Linked DNA regions of Yarrowia lipolytica. The protein of the gene in region 1 purifies or fractionates together with the protein of each later gene. This does not show direct contact. Links are inferred from orthologs where the notes say so. Each region holds a gene or a part of one and is shown on either strand. Other genes may lie near its edges. The genes, in order: YALI1_B16544g and YALI1_C04401g.

Region 1 (3,870 bases):
AGTGCTGAGCACGGGTGCAGGATTGGGTAGGGTAATTGGGGTTAATGGGACTTGCTGGTAATGACGACGAACTTTATTTGTTCGGATTGCATGACAGGGTATCTTAACTGTTGTTAGAATATTGGTTGTATATATACTTACTGGATTAACGAGATCATTTTACTTGGACACTTCTTGGAAATCATGGATCAACAAGTTGTCAAGGTAATATGTTTCATCATGGCATTATGCATTAAACTAATAAGCAATTATATATATTGTACAGGGGATGAGAGTCCCATACTGTGTACACACATTCTGGCAGGGATCAAAGCTGATTTACTGTAGTAGTAGACTCATCATATTCACAAAAAACATACATAGGGTATGTATGTATTGTACTGTATACAACAAGAACGGTGCAAAGAAGGTGGGACATGCAATTACAGTAACCCATTACTCCCCATTCAACCATTGCTACACTTCCTCTTTCAATTTACAATCATTCATTTAATGTACACGGTAATCAAATGTCAATCCTAGACTACACAATAAATTACTTGGTTTGCACTTATTTAAGAACAGCACCGTCGACAATCTCCTTGGACTCGCCAGAGGCAGTGACGACAGGCTTATCCCAAGCCCACATGTTGTCGACAAACTCCTTGTCCTCGGGGTTGGAGGGGTCGAGCTTGACGAAGTCGTAAGACTCCCAATCGGGGGCAACGTCGAAGGCAGCAACGTGGTCCTGGCCTCGGATCATGAAGGCACCGATAATACCATTGTCGTTGTTGGTTCCGTAAACGACGGAGGTACCGAACATGTACTTGGTGGAGGCAGACAGTCGGTTGACAAAGCCACCAATGAGGTTGGTGGACATGAAGGTGAGGGTCAGCTCATCGTCGTACTTGTACTTAACCTTCCAGAGGGAGTAGTCCTCGGGGTCGTAGTGCTCCCAGAACCAGGGGATGGCCTTCTCTCGGGTATCCTCGTTGGAGTAGACTCGCTTCCAGTTGTCAATGGGCTCCTTGGCGGGGCCGAGGGCGGCAAGAGGATGGGCAGCCTTCTTAGGGGCAGCCTCCTCAGCGGGAGCAGGGGCCTTGGGGGCAGCCTCCTTCTTGGCCTCCTTCTTAGGCTCCTCCTTCTTGGGGGCGACGTACTTGACTCGCTCCTCACAGAGGTTAAAGTCGGTGCCAGAGTAGATGGGGTTGGCAGCGACGGTGGTGAACCATCGGGTGGTAGCGGGGTAGGCAGCTCGCCACTTGGCGTCAAAGAGGTTAGCAAATCCAAGAGACATCAGGCCGACAGCGGCGATATCAGCGTAAGTGACAGACTCGCCGACAAGGTAGGTGTTCTTGGTGAGGTGGGCCTCAAAGGTAGCCTTGACGGTCTGGTCGAGCTTGTCAGAGAGAGCATCGACAGCCTTCTTGTTGTAAGGAAGGTAGCCCTTGAGAGGGCCGAAAACGTTCCAGGTGGCATCCGCAATATCGGAGTTGGTAAAAGAGACCCACTGGAGAACCTCAGCCTCCTCGTCCTTGTTCTTTCCGCAAAGAGGGTGGTTGGGGATCTGGGAGAGGACTATGCGGTTAGTATAATTGTATGGTATGGATCAATGCGGGTTGCAATGAGAGTAAATGTCAGGTACCATTTCTCAACACGAAAGTTATTTAGACAGGGATAACTGTTTAAAAAAAATGTTTCATCATTTTGCAAGGGAGGGGTTGTTGTTTGGGGGAAATACTCACGCCAGTAGGAGACGGCAACGAACTCGTGGATGGGAGTGCCGTTGGCGGTCAGGAGGGCAGGGACCTTCTTGAGAGGGAAGAGCTTCTCGAACTCGGCGTCCTTGGGGACAACCTCAACATCGAGCTTGAAGTGCTTGATGAGGGCCTTGATAGAAGTGTATCGGGGGGTCTGTCGTTAGTAGGTGGCATGAGGACGGCATGCAACAGAAACAAGATCCGTGATCTGTGCGGTTTGTGTGCTTGATCTGAGGAGAAACCAAAGGAATATACTCAATCAAGGAGACAATTGACTCACCTGGAGGTCGTAGATCTTGGCGATAGACATTGTTTGTGTTTGGACTGCGATCAGTGAAGAAAAGAAGAGGAAAAATTGTGCAAGAAATTTTGCTTTCAAGACTTGGCTGATGCAGCAGGGTAACTCTGGGACACAGACCTATGTTTGTGGTTAAACTCAATGCACGTGGTACGTGCGTGGAGCGCTTACCCATCCAAGGGTGTGGACATGGAACCGACGGTCCGTGGAGTTGTGTAATGTCATTTTGGCGACTCTTGAAGCAAGGCTATAAAAAAATTGTGTGGCTTGAGTCTTATCGAGCTCGGTCACTACAAGAGTTAATCTTCCTGTCTCAGGCAGACAGGTCAGGCAGGGTTACTTTTGGGTGTGCTGTAACTCACTGTATGGCCGTTAGTGCGCATAGACGTTGTACATACTGGACCGAATTGTAGCGTGCTCAATAGGGCCAATAAAGCTATTGTAGCTCAATGTTGAGGTCGTGGTCGAATTGAATTATTCGCCACTATTGGTCTAATTTATTGTAGGGTGGGTTATACCATACCCCATAGCATGAAATGTCCAGTTATCCAGGCCCAATTTTTCTGTGCATATTTTCGATTCAAAGTTGGCCCAATTTTTTCCGGTCATACAGTTCAATTTGTCACAAAGCGTACTGTACTTACAGCGATGATCCCGCCATTAACACTGACCGTTCGCAGCATACATTAGATAGCGGGTACAGCACATACCTGTACGAGTACAGTACGAGTACGAGTATGTACTATTGTACTATGTTACCCGACCATGCTTTGTATGATACCGTACATACTGGATTCGACATACTGCAAGTGCTTACCATCATCACATAACAAGGACATCCGCATCTGCTCAACGGGCTTTTATTATTTTTGGTTATACTGTAAAAGAGGAGGTTGATCTGGGAGGAAGAACTGAGATCAACATTTTTGCATATTAACCAGATTACGCCATATACGAGATGCATCCTAATTGTCCCTCCAAGCTCCCCTCTAAGATTCCTCTACGCTCCCACATGTGCTGACGACTGGACCAATGGTCCTGTCGTATGGTTTCTCTGGAAACACAGTCACGAGTAGCCTGGTTTGGGACCATGTCATGAGGCTTATTTCCACATGGGGACTGATTTCGAGCTAGTCGTGTGTGAATGGCTCTGTCTCGTTTGTTTTTCGTCATTACCGAGTGTGTCTCCATCCCGTATGTCTCATCCCTATCAACACTTCTCGATGCTTCAGTTGTCTACTCTTCTATACGATACTATACATACGCTCTACCGTTGGAACTGCTCACTCCCACCCAACAAAAGTGCCTACAATCCTGCTGTAACTAACGCTTCCTGTCCACCTGATAATGTTACAATATTAAGTTGCATTCAAAGCCAAATCAGAAGGAGCGGAAACCAAGCCGGGTTACAGTCCCATCGTACAAGACCTGTATCCAGACTCACCACAGAAGGCAGCTGTCACAACTCACACACCCAGCATTTTTCATCTCTGACTGCCAACTAACCACACGCTCGGTGCCATCTTTGAGAGCATCCCTACGGCTTTTCTACATCTGAAACCCCAGCCTCTGTTTTTACACCCTCGAACAGCCGCATGCTATAACCAACCCAGGCTCCAAACATGGGTTCTTCAGCCCTCCGGAGCGAGACAACAGTGAGTATTTTTGCGTGTACAAGATTGTGGTCTCAGTTTGGTTGCTCGTGAGGTATTTGCGGCTCTTCTTCAGCCTTATGGAGCCTTTCGCAGGGCTGAAATTAACCCAACTGAGAGCTCCCTTCCTGAAACGGTGGTACCTGTAGTTGAGATGACTGAAAATAAAAAAAGACGGTGA
Region 2 (3,950 bases), on another chromosome or scaffold:
CACACAGTCTCTGAGTGTTGTCATCTTCTATCCAGAATGAAGTGCTCAGATGGAGAGAGTACGACATTAGACTGTACTACAAGTAGTAGAACCAACTTATGGATGCTTGTATGAGATAGGCGCACTTCTCATGAGAGTTAGAGATATGGCATGCATCTCGAAATGTCAAGATGGATGGATGATTGGATATCCGAAGCGAGACTGTAAGATGAATGTCCTCAGACGCTAGTTAAAATAGCTACACGACCTTCTGGTATGATGCTGTGGTTTCTCTGCAAGGATACCCAAGTGAGTATCGAGTCCATTTTGGGGTCTTAGGCTCTCTTGTTTGTTCTCTGCGCACAGTTCACTCCAGATAATCCTCTGGGCGGTCAGTTAGGGCTCTTTCCATACATCTACTTTACGTAAACGCTGTCTACAGTGTTATAACCTCACCATACATTTCTATCTATGACCAGGTTGTCAACCATCATCTGTTGACCAGACAGGGACATGGCAATGAGCCTGTCATTATACTTTATAACAGCTTTTAGTTAGCTGTTACTCGACTCACCAACTTCCGTTACGCTCAATTGGTTCGTCTAGTTCTTTCCAGCACCGGCTCGGAAGTAAATGACATCTCCATCCTCAACCACGTAATCCTTACCCTTTTGTTGCAGCTTTCCGGCAGCCTTGACGGAGGCATCGTCGCCGTACTCGACCAGGTCCTCGTACTTGGTCACCTGGGCCAGAATAAAAGTGTTCATGAGATCGTTATGGATGACACCGGCGGCCTGAGGAGCCTTGGTACCGTTTCGAATGGTCCATTCTCGAACCTCATCGGCACCGGAGGTGAAGAAAGAGATCAGACCGAGAGTCTGTCGCATTGTGGTAATGATCTTGGGCAGAGAAGTGGTGGCACCAATCTCCTTGAGGTAGGCCTCGGCCTCCTCCTCGGTCTCCATGTGGGACAGCTTCTCCTCCAGGCAGACGGAGAAGGGGATGATGACGTCTCCGGGAGAGTTCTCGTCGATCCACTGTTTGATCTTCAGCAGGTACTTGTTCTTCTTTCGAACGTAATCCTTCTCAGACAGGTTGATGAGGTAGATGGCGGGCTTGGCGGTCAGCAGCAGCATCTCGTTGATGACCAGCACCTCCTTGCCAGTCCAGTTCTGGTTGGCAATTCGGTGGCCGTCCTCCAGCAGCTTGATGATCTTCTCGCAGGTGGCAGCCTCCTCCTTCTTCTGCTTGACCTCCATGGACTGTCCTCCTCGCTTGACAATCTTCTCGACTCCCTCAAGGTGCTTCTTGGCAAACTCAATGTCCTTGAGTCGAAGCTCGTCCTTGATGATCTGGAGATCTCGCACGGGATCAACGTCACCCTCGATATGGATAATCTCGGCATCGTCGAAGCATCGAACAACCTGGAAAATGGCATCAACAGCTCGGATGTTGGACAGGAAAGCGTTACCAAGACCCTCTCCAGCATGAGCACCCTTGGTCAGACCAGCAATGTCGTAAACGGTGATATGAGCAGGGACCTTGGAAGCGGGCTTGTACATCTCACAGAGCTTGTCAAATCGAGCAGAGGGGACGGTCACTCGAGCCTCCTCAGGCTCAATGGTAGCAAAAGGGTAGTTGGCGGGGTTACCAAGAGGACATCGAGTGATGGCCTGGAAAAAGGTCGATTTTCCAACGTTGGCCAGACCGACGATTCCGGACTTGAGGTTGTTGCCGGGTCGACCGAGCAGAATCTTCTCTTCCTTGACGTTCTTCTTGGGGGGCATTGTAGTGTGTGGTGTTAACCTGGTGATGAAATTTTTCACTGCTGAATACAGTAGATGACTTGGTTGGTTGTCATCCCTAACCCTAACTTTGAAGCCGGAGAGAGAGCAGAGAGTTGGTGACAGGCCAAGTTGTATAGGGCCAGGGCTTAAGTAGAGGCTTGTTTTGGAGTATGCTACACTCTCCTATAACTCGTATATATCCCGGGTTGTCTCTATTTTGGGCTCATTAACCATACGTGTCAAATCAAGGTTGAGCTTGGAATTTCAAAGAAAGAGTGGTTTGGGGGTTAGGGTTGGGAGAATGGGAGATGGATGCCCAAACCCCGAACGACGCGAGCATGTCAGATTGAGCTGACTTCCTAAGAGAAATGGCACGTCCAGTATTGAGCAGAGTGAGCAATGTGAGCAGAATGTTTGTGGTGTTTGGTAAGCATTGATATCCAATAAGTATTTATTGGATCGAAATGGGTCATTGCATGTTGCAAGGCTGCAAAGAGTGTTGCTGTAGCGCCAGTAGATACGAAGTTAGTTGGGAGTAGTTAAGCGGACAAGTCACCTGGGGGTCATAGTCGGGCTTTTTGAAAACTTTTGATATATATATATATATTTATAAATAAGCCACATTGAAATAAATTCCTTCAGTATACTGTAGGACAGCAATGTTTATATCATTGTCTATCGGATTATCCTGTTATAACATCTCTTCTGCATTCTCAGAGAAGCCATATTACTTAGGCTTTTAGTTAGTATCAATTTGGTCATCCTTGGTGAGCCTAACAAGTGTCTCTTTTGCCGTCCTGTTTAAAGCGCAATTTAGAATCGAACTGGCGGTTGTGATACTTAGATATGTTAAGTTTTTTTAAAGTAAATCAAATTAAATTTGTTTTTATATTATATACTGTAACATTGAAGGTTACTTGGTACCATGAACAAGTGTACTTGGGAAATTCATAGAACTATTATCAGTGATTCAGAGGCAAATTCGACAAACCAAACTTATACTCCCGGTTATCCATGATTTCTAACTTGGAAACGTCAATTTTTTTTACTGACTCTGCCCTCAAACTACTTCGACTGGACTCCCTTTCTCCCTCAGATCACATGACTTGTCCCAGCATGGAACTCTATTTTTCGCATCACCACCATTAGAAATACACCATCCACACGACACGCCATAGTGATAGTGATTCAACATCGACACCATGAATCAAGGGCAGGGCCAACAGAATCCGAACGCCGGCAACGCCCAGGGTCAAGGTGCCCAGGGCCAGGGCCAGGGCCAGGGCAACGCCCAGAATCGGCCTCGGTTGAACCCCCAGCAGCAACTCCGAGCTCTCTACCAAAACTACCATCAGGCTCTTGAGCTGTCCCGGCAGAGTGGTGGCCAGCAGCATTTTGTACACGCGCAGCGGCTGCGCGAGTTGATTACTCAGGTTGAAGGTCGAATGAGACAACAGATGGCTCGTCAGGGTCAAGGACAACAGGGACAAGGTGGTCAGCAGCAAGGACAACAGGGACAGCAGCAAGGTCAACAGGGCCAGGTTCCTCCGCAGGGCCAGGTCCCTCCGCAAGGAATGGGTATGGGTATGAACCAGGGCCAGAACCAGGGCCAGAACCAAGCTCAGGGCCAAGGTAGAATGACCCCCAATCCCCAGGCTACAGGCACGCCCAACCCTGGAAACACACCCAACCCCGCTAATGCCACTCCTAACCCCTCCAACCCCACAAATAACCCACGGATGAACCAGCAGCTGCTTCAGGCACAGACATTCTTGCTGCGTCGACAGCCTCCTAACTTCAACGAAATGACGTACGAGCAGCAGCAGACGTTCCGGGTCAAGAACCTCGAGTCGTCACGCCGAACACAGCACGAATGGCAACAATCCATGGAGCAGATGCAGCAGGTCATTGGCGACCCCAACACTACCGATGATCGTCGTCAGCAGCTCCAGCAGCAACTGGACCAAATCCGGCTGAAGAAGGAGGGTCTGAGAGCCATTGAAATTGTGCTCGGACAACAGCACGCCGCTGCCGCACGAGCCCATGGTGACGTGAGCGTGACTGGAGCTCAGGGCCAGGGTCAACAGACTCCTAACCAAGCCCAAGCACAGGTTCCCCAGAACCAGGGATTGCGACCCATGGGCCAGATGCAGGGCCAGAACCAGATGCAAGGCCAGGGTATGA

What was found.
Region 2: the proteins of YALI1_B16544g (region 1) and YALI1_C04401g purify together in Saccharomyces cerevisiae (affinity purification with mass spectrometry; 3 studies listed by BioGRID). This does not show direct contact. The link is inferred for Yarrowia lipolytica from reciprocal best matches to the Saccharomyces cerevisiae genes TEF4 and OLA1.

Annotation. Positions count from the first base shown.
Region 1 is NC_090771.1:1,652,876-1,656,745, forward strand, and holds YALI1_B16544g (elongation factor 1 gamma domain-containing protein), read right to left. Parts: upstream 2,050-3,870; coding exon 2,020-2,049; intron 1,894-2,019; coding exon 1,725-1,893; intron 1,558-1,724; coding exon 551-1,557; downstream 1-550. Other genes in the region: YALI1_B16566g (uncharacterized protein), read right to left, coding at 3,613-3,802, 3,849-3,870. UniProt on the Saccharomyces cerevisiae protein: Subunit of the eukaryotic elongation factor 1 complex (eEF1). Probably plays a role in anchoring the complex to other cellular components.
Region 2 is NC_090772.1:437,931-441,880, reverse strand, and holds YALI1_C04401g (uncharacterized protein), read right to left. Parts: upstream 1,767-3,950; coding exon 582-1,766; downstream 1-581. Other genes in the region: YALI1_C04389g (uncharacterized protein), read left to right, coding at 2,969-3,950. UniProt on the Saccharomyces cerevisiae protein: Hydrolyzes ATP, and can also hydrolyze GTP with lower efficiency. Has lower affinity for GTP.